3 linked regions of the Schizosaccharomyces pombe genome follow. Changing the gene in region 1 together with any one later gene gives a genetic interaction. Each region holds a gene or a part of one and is shown in the gene's direction. Other genes may lie near its edges. The genes, in order: gar2, pdc202 and rhp1602.

What was found.
Region 2: mutations in gar2 (region 1) and pdc202 together harm fitness more than expected from each alone (negative genetic interaction), as found in Schizosaccharomyces pombe (one large-scale study listed by BioGRID).
Region 3: mutations in gar2 (region 1) and rhp1602 together harm fitness less than expected from each alone (positive genetic interaction), as found in Schizosaccharomyces pombe (one large-scale study listed by BioGRID).

Annotation. Positions count from the first base shown.
Region 1 is NC_003424.3:1,895,594-1,899,349, forward strand, and holds the start of gar2 (nucleolin), read left to right. Parts: upstream 1-1,868; 5' UTR 1,869-1,929; coding exon 1,930-3,432; 3' UTR 3,433-3,756. Other genes in the region: sdh2 (succinate dehydrogenase iron-sulfur subunit protein), read left to right, coding at 1-698. UniProt on the Schizosaccharomyces pombe protein: Helps the assembly of pre-ribosomal particles containing 18S rRNA.
Region 2 is NC_003424.3:583,707-587,462, forward strand, and holds the start of pdc202 (pyruvate decarboxylase), read left to right. Parts: upstream 1-1,890; coding exon 1,891-3,606; 3' UTR 3,607-3,756. Other genes in the region: ysp2 (peptidase family M17 cytoplasmic leucyl aminopeptidase yspII (LAP yspII)), read left to right, coding at 1-327.
Region 3 is NC_003423.3:437,147-440,902, reverse strand, and holds the start of rhp1602 (DNA translocase Rhp16b), read left to right. Parts: upstream 1-2,094; 5' UTR 2,095-2,125; coding exon 2,126-2,914; exon of another isoform or gene 2,915-2,966; coding exon 2,967-3,756. Other genes in the region: nucleoporin Nup107, read left to right, coding at 1-1,629.

The DNA of each region.
Region 1 (3,756 bases):
TAAAAACTTTCGAGATTTATCGCTGGAACCCAGAGAAACCAGAAGTAAAGCCAAAGCTTCAAAAGTATACAGTCGACTTAACAAAATGCGGACCAATGGTTTTGGATGCGCTTATTAAAATCAAAAATGAGCAAGATCCTACCTTAACGTTCCGTCGCTCATGCAGAGAAGGTATTTGCGGGTCTTGTGCGATGAATATTAATGGCAGTAATACTTTGGCTTGCATCTGTAACATTAAAAAAGATAACAAACCTACTAAAATTTACCCCTTACCTCATTGCTTCATCGTAAAGGATCTCGTACCTGACCTAACCTACTTTTATAAGCAATATAAGAGTATTGAACCCTGGTTGCAAAACGATAACATCCCTAAAGACAAGGAGTTTTACCAATCTCGCGCTGACCGTGCCAAGCTTGACGGTTTGTATGAATGTATTTTGTGTGCCTGTTGTTCTACCTCTTGTCCATCTTACTGGTGGAACTCAGAAGAGTATCTTGGCCCAGCAGTTTTGATGCAGGCTTATCGTTGGATCATCGATTCTCGTGATCAAGCTACTGCTAAACGTTTGGATGTCATGCAGAACTCTATGTCTGTCTATCGTTGCCATACCATTATGAATTGCGCTCGTACTTGTCCCAAGGGTTTGAACCCTGGCCTTGCCATTGCCAAGGTAAAGGCTTTGATGGCTACTGCTTAAACAAGATTTACGCTTCTTTTTGTCTTTTCTTTCGCATCTGATGATTCCAATATTTCTTGTTAAAGAGGAACCCCCGTTGTTACTTAACCTATTTTATGTTTCTCTTCTACGATTTTTTTTACTTGCGTAGCTCTGTGTTTAGCTGTCATCTATGCTACATTACTTTCTCGATCTGACCATTACTTTTGCGTTGTTCCCGTTAATGAACCCTTTATTTTTATTTGCAATATCTAAATCTAGTTTACCATTAATAATTTCGGGAAATGGTAAACTTTTCTATTTTAAAGAAAATATGCTATTTCGTGGTAACTTGTGCACAATTGAATTGTTTGATTGTGATTTTTTACGCTGTTACATCAGATGAAATAATTAAGCATGTATTTGAAAATTATCTAAACCACTTTTTTCACTGTTTATTTGTGGCTAGTTACTGCATTTAACATAGCAGCTGCTTCTTTGGTTAAAGAGTTGAAAACTTTTTAGCATATTGAGAGCCCTTTAAGGTAATTGCTTTGTAAAACTTGAGATAAGTAAATGAGGCATCTTTTATTTAATTAAAGTATCACATAAAAACGGAAATCATGTACACAATAATGAAAGAAAAATAAATCTTAATATGACGATTAAACCATGGTATTCTCCATAGGCTGGTCGAAATTTTTTGTTACTATAACATGATTTTAAAATTTCAATGGATCAACAATGTACATTTTCACGGCCACTTTTTAGTTTATAATATTTGACGAACACAAATAACTTGGATAAGATGTTATCGTTCATAAGAATTTACATATTCACCACTCCAGATAATACTACGCAAGACTAAACCTAACTCCTTCGTTTCACTGATTCAACAATTTATTAAATTTCAATATGCTTTTTACCTTTAAGACATGTTATAAGCCTTCAGACACACTCATTTTTTAAATATTAATGGCGAATATTTTACTTTGCTGGTTTGTTGTTGAATAGCGCAGATAGCTATTACTTGATAGCGTAATTAGTTAAACTCGCTTTTATAAAAAATAGTAGTAGTTGAACAAGCTTCTATATTAGTAGTTTAACGAATACGTCTAGAAAATTTGCTATACTAGTATACGGCTTCAGGTACATATATCATCGGTAAAAATTTTTTTGGCTATATATAGCAGCTTGTCGCGCCGTACCAGCAGTCAAACTAAAAAACTCCCAAATTCTTTTAAACGGGCTTTTGGTATAGGTTGTGAATATAATGGCAAAAAAGGATAAAACCTCCGTTAAGAAATCAGTGAAGGAGACTGCATCAAAGAAGGGTGCCATTGAGAAACCTTCCAAGTCCAAGAAGATTACTAAGGAGGCTGCTAAAGAGATTGCAAAGCAAAGCTCTAAAACCGATGTCTCCCCTAAAAAATCTAAAAAGGAGGCTAAGCGTGCTTCTAGTCCCGAACCTTCAAAGAAATCAGTAAAAAAGCAAAAGAAATCTAAGAAGAAGGAAGAAAGCTCCTCAGAATCCGAGTCTGAATCTAGCTCATCAGAATCCGAGTCTTCCTCTTCAGAATCCGAATCTAGTTCTTCAGAGTCCGAATCATCTTCATCTGAATCCTCTTCGTCTGAGTCTGAAGAAGAAGTGATTGTGAAAACTGAAGAGAAGAAGGAGAGTTCCAGCGAATCATCTTCCTCCTCTGAGTCTGAAGAGGAAGAAGAGGCTGTTGTAAAAATTGAAGAAAAGAAGGAGAGCTCTAGTGACTCTTCTTCCGAGTCTTCCTCATCTGAATCTGAATCCGAATCTTCCTCATCTGAATCTGAGGAAGAAGAAGAGGTGGTCGAGAAGACTGAAGAGAAGAAAGAAGGCTCCAGCGAGTCTTCTTCTGACTCCGAATCCTCGTCAGATTCCTCCTCAGAATCTGGAGACAGCGACTCTTCCTCTGATTCTGAATCCGAATCCAGCTCTGAAGACGAGAAGAAACGTAAAGCCGAGCCTGCTTCTGAAGAAAGACCTGCTAAGATTACCAAGCCTTCTCAAGATTCTAACGAGACTTGCACTGTTTTCGTCGGTCGTCTTTCTTGGAACGTAGATGATCAGTGGTTAGGGCAGGAATTTGAAGAGTACGGTACAATTGTTGGTGCACGTGTTATTATGGATGGCCAAAGCGGTCGCTCAAAGGGTTACGGCTACGTTGATTTTGAGACCCCTGAGGCTGCTAAGGCTGCTGTTGCCGCTAATGGTACCAAGGAAATTGATGGTCGTATGGTCAACTTAGATCTCTCTAATCCTCGCCCAGCCAACCCTCAACCATATGCTCAACAACGTGCGGGTAATTTTGGAGACCAATTATCTGAACCTAGTGATACCGTATTTGTTGGAAATTTGTCTTTTAACGCAACTGAAGATGATCTCAGTACGGCTTTTGGCGGTTGCGGTGACATTCAATCCATTCGTTTGCCCACAGATCCTCAGTCAGGACGTCTTAAGGGTTTCGGTTATGTTACTTTCTCTGATATTGACTCTGCCAAGAAATGTGTGGAAATGAACGGTCATTTTATTGCTGGTCGCCCATGTCGTTTGGACTTTTCAACTCCTCGTACTGGTGGAGGTAGCCGTGGTGGTCGCGGTGGATTTGGCGGTCGTGGTGGATTCGGTGGCCGTGGTGGATTTGGTGGCGGACGTGGTCGCGGTAGAGGTGGTGCTCGCTCTGGAAACCCCAACCGTGGCTCGGTTGCTCCATTTTCTGGGAACAAAGTCACTTTTGACTAAGTATACTGGCTTTTAACTATATTGAGTTCATTTTTATGGGTTAAATGTAAATACCTTAGCAAATTAATATATGAGTTTGGGTTTTTGGGAAACTTTTTGGCATAAAGGGTTTTAATAAATGTTGGGCTGTGGATTTGATTTAATTGGGTTGAAGTATTCAAATACAAATGACTTGTTTGGGTTTGTTATGGAATGAATTTGGGTTTGGTTTGGTTTTATTGACTTTATAAAGATAATAAATATGGGCCCGTTGGTTTTACAATTTCAAAGCAGTGATGGTTGGCGTTGTTCTACGGTTTAGTTCATGTATTCACCTTTCCTTTA
Region 2 (3,756 bases), 1.3 Mb from region 1:
GCATTTGTTCAAGGAGAAGAGTTGTGGAAGAATCTTGAAACTGCTTCCCATGATGCTGGAGACCTTTTCTGGCGTATGCCATTTCACGAGGCTTACCTCAAGCAACTTACAAGTTCTTCAAATGCTGATTTGTGCAATGTTAGTCGTGCCGGTGGTGGTTGTTGTACAGCGGCTGCCTTTATTAAATGCTTCTTAGCCCAGAAAGATTTGTCTTTTGCTCATTTAGACATTGCCGGAGTTATGGATAAGCAGCTTAATTCTTGGGATTGTGACGGCATGAGCGGACGCCCAGTTCGCACTATTATTGAAGTCGCTCGCAAGTATTAGCTTATTTATTTTCTTGGCTATATGTGCAAACTTTATGTTTTTACTTATTTACTGTTGATTACACCAATCTCATTTTTCAATGTCCTTGTTAAGTGTATGTCAATGATATGTAGCTATCATGATTTTATTCTTTTTAATACTGTTTTCCACAACCGTTCATAACGGTTGTAAGGACCGAGTCTTTCTGATGGCTCTGGTTCTGTTTCCTTTAAAAATAAAATCAATTCGGTTGAAGTCTCATGTTGTTAAATTTCACTTTCGAAGTAGCGAATTTTTTTTTTCTATTTTGAATATAGATTTGTTTATTAAATGTAGTAATCAATTTACTCATGACTATTACTTTTGTCAAACAAAATCATAATACAAAACTAAATCTTTAAAGGTAGAATATTCTCCTGTGCGAGTTTACAATACTTTGGGATATGATCAAATCAATTTTTTTTAGATATCTGTTGAAATTTTTATAACAGTAATTTTGTATTATTTATCATACTATTTATTAGCGTTACCTGCCCTCTTAAATGTACACATCATGTGGGGGTGGGGGAACCAGTGCTGGAGATCACTTCTTGCTATACCGTTTGGCTCATGGCAACTATTGAGGATAGCAAGGAGCGTTACAATTTGCAAATCAATATGATAAACAGAAAAACAACAAGTTGAAGCTTAACACTGTAGCAATATAACAATGAAAAAAATAATCAGAATTAAAGCAAGAAGCCTATAAATGGTCCATCAATTGTGAAATCGATATTGCTAGATGTCAGGCAAATCGTGAACTCGGTTGAAAAATGTCGTTAATATTCATGTGAAATCATAATTACAGCAATATGTTCAAAGACTTTTGGATACTTTATAATAATGAGGATTCTATTTTTGAGTGGTCACATGGTCTCGTAACCATGAGGTACGCCTTACTTTTACGGACGAAACAATATTTCACATTCAGCTCTCAATGTTAAGTATCCAAACAAACATGGTACAAACCAATAAAGCATGTAAATTAATAAGCTTGAAATAAGGAATAGTCATTAAATTCAGTTTAGACATAATGTAAAAGGTATCAATTTTGTCTTTGGTATAGATACAATTAAGAATTTCGAGACGGAACGTTCGGTGATGTAGAGTTTTCATAATAATTTCTGCAGTTGCTTACACTAACCGAAGAATCGTCCAGTATAAACTGCTGACGATGCCTTAAATCAATAATTGCAAATTGCATAGTTGACGTTTTCCCGGGTGGCACATAGTGAGATTTGAGTCGAATAATGAAATAGCCTCTGACGAGTGGTTTCGTACCAAGAGTTTCAAAAAGAATAATCCACATTAACTCAATGTATCATTGATGACGGAATGTTGCTTATATAGCCAGAGTAACCCTGCTCTGAAGCATCTAAGGTTATATCTTTTTAACTTTTAGCTAGCAAACTCACTTGTTCCTTTAAGTTCAGAAAGTATCTGCTGGTTATTCAACAGATAATTATCTTGCGAAAAAGGAATACACACTCAGCATTGTAATTTGTTGAGTATATTTCACAAGCACATTAAATTGCATTATCAAACATGAGTGGGGATATTTTAGTCGGTGAATATCTATTCAAAAGGCTTGAACAATTAGGGGTCAAGTCCATTCTTGGTGTTCCAGGAGATTTCAATTTAGCTCTACTTGACTTAATTGAGAAAGTTGGAGATGAGAAATTTCGTTGGGTTGGCAATACCAATGAGTTGAATGGTGCTTATGCCGCTGATGGTTATGCTCGTGTTAATGGTCTTTCAGCCATTGTTACAACGTTCGGCGTGGGAGAGCTTTCCGCTATTAATGGAGTGGCAGGTTCTTATGCGGAGCATGTCCCAGTAGTTCATATTGTTGGAATGCCTTCCACAAAGGTGCAAGATACTGGAGCTTTGCTTCATCATACTTTAGGAGATGGAGACTTTCGCACTTTCATGGATATGTTTAAGAAAGTTTCTGCCTACAGTATAATGATCGATAACGGAAACGATGCAGCTGAAAAGATCGATGAAGCCTTGTCGATTTGTTATAAAAAGGCTAGGCCTGTTTACATTGGTATTCCTTCTGATGCTGGCTACTTCAAAGCATCTTCATCAAATCTTGGGAAAAGACTAAAGCTCGAGGAGGATACTAACGATCCAGCAGTTGAGCAAGAAGTCATCAATCATATCTCGGAAATGGTTGTCAATGCAAAGAAACCAGTGATTTTAATTGACGCTTGTGCTGTAAGACATCGTGTCGTTCCAGAAGTACATGAGCTGATTAAATTGACCCATTTCCCTACATATGTAACTCCCATGGGTAAATCTGCAATTGACGAAACTTCGCAATTTTTTGACGGCGTTTATGTTGGTTCAATTTCAGATCCTGAAGTTAAAGACAGAATTGAATCCACTGATCTGTTGCTATCCATCGGTGCTCTCAAATCAGACTTTAACACGGGTTCCTTCTCTTACCACCTCAGCCAAAAGAATGCCGTTGAGTTTCATTCAGACCACATGCGCATTCGATATGCTCTTTATCCAAATGTAGCCATGAAGTATATTCTTCGCAAACTGTTGAAAGTACTTGATGCTTCTATGTGTCATTCCAAGGCTGCTCCTACCATTGGCTACAACATCAAGCCTAAGCATGCGGAAGGATATTCTTCCAACGAGATTACTCATTGCTGGTTTTGGCCTAAATTTAGTGAATTTTTGAAGCCCCGAGATGTTTTGATCACCGAGACTGGAACTGCAAACTTTGGTGTCCTTGATTGCAGGTTTCCAAAGGATGTAACAGCCATTTCCCAGGTATTATGGGGATCTATTGGATACTCCGTTGGTGCAATGTTTGGTGCTGTTTTGGCCGTCCACGATTCTAAAGAGCCCGATCGTCGTACCATTCTTGTAGTAGGTGATGGATCCTTACAACTGACGATTACAGAGATTTCAACCTGCATTCGCCATAACCTCAAACCAATTATTTTCATAATTAACAACGACGGTTACACCATTGAGCGTTTAATTCATGGTTTGCATGCTAGCTATAACGAAATTAACACTAAATGGGGCTACCAACAGATTCCCAAGTTTTTCGGAGCTGCTGAAAACCACTTCCGCACTTACTGTGTTAAAACTCCTACTGACGTTGAAAAGTTGTTTAGCGACAAGGAGTTTGCAAATGCAGATGTCATTCAAGTAGTTGAGCTTGTAATGCCTATGTTGGATGCACCTCGTGTCCTAGTTGAGCAAGCCAAGTTGACGTCTAAGATCAATAAGCAATGAGCAAGCTATTGAGAGTGGAATTGGCAAACAAAGTTTCCTTTGATTTATATGTTTTTTATGATAAGCCCATTCAATTCATATAGTCTTTTAGTATAATGATTAGTTATTAAATTTATGTTTAAAGCAACTTTTTAGTTTAAAATTTTTCAA
Region 3 (3,756 bases), on another chromosome or scaffold:
AGGAGAACTGGTAATCATTGGCGTTCTGCTTCACTTCAAGGAATTTTGGAGTATAGAGATAACCTCATCGACGATGTTTTGCAATCCGAGACTTCCGGTAATAAAAGAAAGGAACTCTTGCGCAGATCATGTTTAGCACTTACAAAAAATAAACGGATAGACTCTTATGAACGCGCTCTTTATGGCGCTTTATGTGGAGACTTGAACTCCGTCCTTGATGTGTGCACAACTTGGGAGGATGCGATGTGGGCTTATTATAATAGTATGACTCAGTACAATTTGGATGTTTATCTTTCTTCTAAGGCTCCTCAAACAGAAACACAATTGCCTCCAGTGGATAGTGGTTTAGGCTTAACTCCCGAATTGATTTTTAATTCGCTGAGTAACAGCTCTATTGCTTCAATCCAAGAAGAAGCATCACATCCCCTAATTAAACTTCAAACTCATATCATTTGTAATAAAATTTCGGAAATTTTGAGCTCTGCTCACATACAGTTGGAAGCAATTCGGACTGGAAATGCCCCTGAGTCTGGGGATTTGGTTACACCTCCTCTTCTTCGAATACTGACACACATAATTTTATTTTTGAAGATTTCAGGTCTTGCTGTGGATGAATATACTTCTGACTCTATTATCCAAGCGTATATTGAGTTATTGGCTAGTGCTAAAAAAGTTAACTTGGTTCCATTGTATATTCAGTACCTATCAAATCAAGTGCAGTACGAGGCTTATTCTCGATTCCTTATTCTTGTTGATGAAGAAAGTGCAAGATCAGAACAACTTCAATTAGCAAAAAAATATTCATTAGATATTAATCATGCGGCGTTACTAGCTGTTGAATATGTGTATGATGAAGTTGTCTCTGTTTCTCCCGAAGAAGTTCACACAGTATATTTAAAATCTATTGAGGAGCCAGTTGAACCATCTTATAAAAAGCTCATCTGCACCCTTGAATGGTTATTAATCACTTCACAGACAGATGAGCTGCTCCGATTTGCAAACCTTGTATATCGTTTCTTTTTAAGCATTGGCGAGCTAAATAGTGCATACGATCTTTATACACATATTCCCTCTGATGCTTTGAATACGCTAAGCTCTAGCGATGGTGAACCCGAAAACGATTCTAAGTTTAGAGATGCGTATGAACTGATGAACTATCGAGCTCTCTGCAGAGCACTTAAATTTTATCAAGAATGGGAAGAGCTTTCTAAACAAGAAGTATTTGAAGATTCTGCAGTTACGAAAGCTAGCACTTCTTATAAAGTTTGGAAAAAAAAATTGAATTTTGCCTCTCGTAAATGTGTAAAGTCCTTCACAGACTTACTTCAAGCTAACTGGCTTCACCCGTCTACATTGGAGCTGAAACCAGATGATGATCCTTTGCTTTATAAAACTCTTATGACTATTCGGAATTTGTATGTGCCTGAACTAATTCTCGGTTTGCATAATGTTTATTTTAGCCTTGAGGACTATGATAGCTGTTTTGCTCTGGCTAACGAAGTTGCCAGTGAAGATTTAAAACTTTACCATTGTCTTATTAAAAGTGGCAGACTGGTTGAATATGTTTCTTATTTAGGAAAGGCCGGAGAATGTAGCCTTTCAACCCCTAATGGGCTTTTTTCTTTATAAGTGTCAATGTATAAGAGATTCAATTCGAAAACTAATAGTGATGCTGCAAATGTGGTATCATCTTCGCATTGATAACCAGTTTATCTTAATACGTTGATTTTAAAACTAAGCTGAAAAACTTCCATAACTTTTGACTATTTCTAATATAAATTTTTTTTTCCAAAAAGTTAGACTATGAACTAAATCCAGAATTGCAGACACTTTGTTGCAAACATTCTTATAAAATTGTTTGAAAGTTCGGTTAATTAGGACCATTGCGCAAGTTCTTAAATCCTATAGTCGATTTGAGCAGTCTTTACAAATTTCGACTCGAAAACTGTGTTAGTGGATATATTGTGTAGGGTTTACTTTTATACTCAAAAAAACATTAAAGTAAGCAAATAGAAATATTTGAGTTCTTGACACCAATCTTCACTTAGTAAGAACCCATCGTATACAAGCTATTTCTACTACCACTGAATGTTCACGTTCAGTGCAATTTGCTTGAGGGAGCTTGATGGAAAAAGCGTCTAAAAATAAGGAAAGTGGGGTTAAAAAAGCGAATAACTCTTTTTTACAAAATTTCGGTGTAAATACAGCAGGGAAAGAAAATGAATCTACTTCATTACCAAGGTTGCCCAAAAGCGAAGATGAATCCATCCCAAAACAATCTATAAAATCTAAGAATAAAAAGAAAACCCAACATTTTCTTTCTGATGCTTTTGAAAGCTTAAAGAGACAGGAGATAGATACAAACGAAAAGGAAGTAATCGTCTCCGCGCCTATAACTAGTAAACCAGCTCAGGTTTTTTATAGTAAAAAATTGGAACGTAAGGATGAGGGAATAAGGAAATGGGAGAAAGATCCATTTGCCCCTATCTCAGTAAAATCTGGTGCGTGGAAGAAACCATATACCAAGGTTCCTGAAGTCTCAATAAATAAAGCAACTTCGAAAAGAACGGACTTGATAAATGATAAGCCTATTGTGATTCCAATTCCCAGAGCTTCTACTTCAACGCTATATTTTGGTAAGCACAATAAACCAACTTCTGAAAATAGAAAAGGCCCCATAGGTATACCCACTGAAGAAATCTTAACTTCCCAAAATACTCAAGCAATGCTACATAAACTGTTTGAGAATAATGTGCTGGACAATGTTAAGGACGATTCAATGCAGAGGCAGTCCTCGTTTATTCCTGGCATGCATATACGTCTACTAGATCATCAAGTCCAAGGACTTACTTGGCTCAAATCAAGAGAAACGGTGTCTAAATCTTCGGCTTCCGGCGGAATTCTAGCAGATGATGTAAGTCATGAAAATATTATTTGTTGTTATTCAGTGCTAATAATTTTTTTAGATGGGATTGGGAAAAACTATTCAAATGATCGCTTTAATTCTTTCGCATCCCTTACCAAAGAAGAAGCATTCAATCAAATCCACTTTGGTAGTAGCTCCACTCAGTTTAATTAAACAGTGGGAATCAGAAGTGCAGACGAAAAGCAAGTTGACAGCAATCGTTTATCATGGAGCATCCAGATATAAATTACTTAAAGTAATTCACGAATACGATGTAGTAATAACCACGTATCAAATACTAGTTTCGGAATGGGTGTCTCACAATACTACAGGTACAGACGGCAAATCGCCTACTGAAGCTAAAAGTTATGAAAAGAAAAAGCCAAGCTTGTTTGCCTTCTATTGGTGGAGGATAATACTGGATGAAGCACACACTATAAAAAATAAATCTTCTAAATCAGCTCTTGCCTGTTGCGCATTACAGGGCATCAATCGCTGGTGTCTCACTGGGACACCTTTACAAAACAATGTAGATGAACTTTACTCACTTGTGAAATTTCTTCATATTAATCCATTTAACGACCAATCTGTTTGGAAAGATCAAATTTCTTTACCTTTATGTCAAGGAGAGGAAAACTTGGTTTTTAAAAGACTTCGAATGCTTCTGAGTGTAATCATGTTACGACGAACGAAGACTTTGTTAGAGGCAAACGCGGGCAAAGATGGTACAGGTGGTGCTTTAAAACTTTCAAAGCGTTTGGTGTATAAGGTTATTTGTAAATTTGAAGAAAGTGAACGTGACTTTTACAGTAACTTGGCACGAAACATGGAACGAACGATGTCAAATTTTG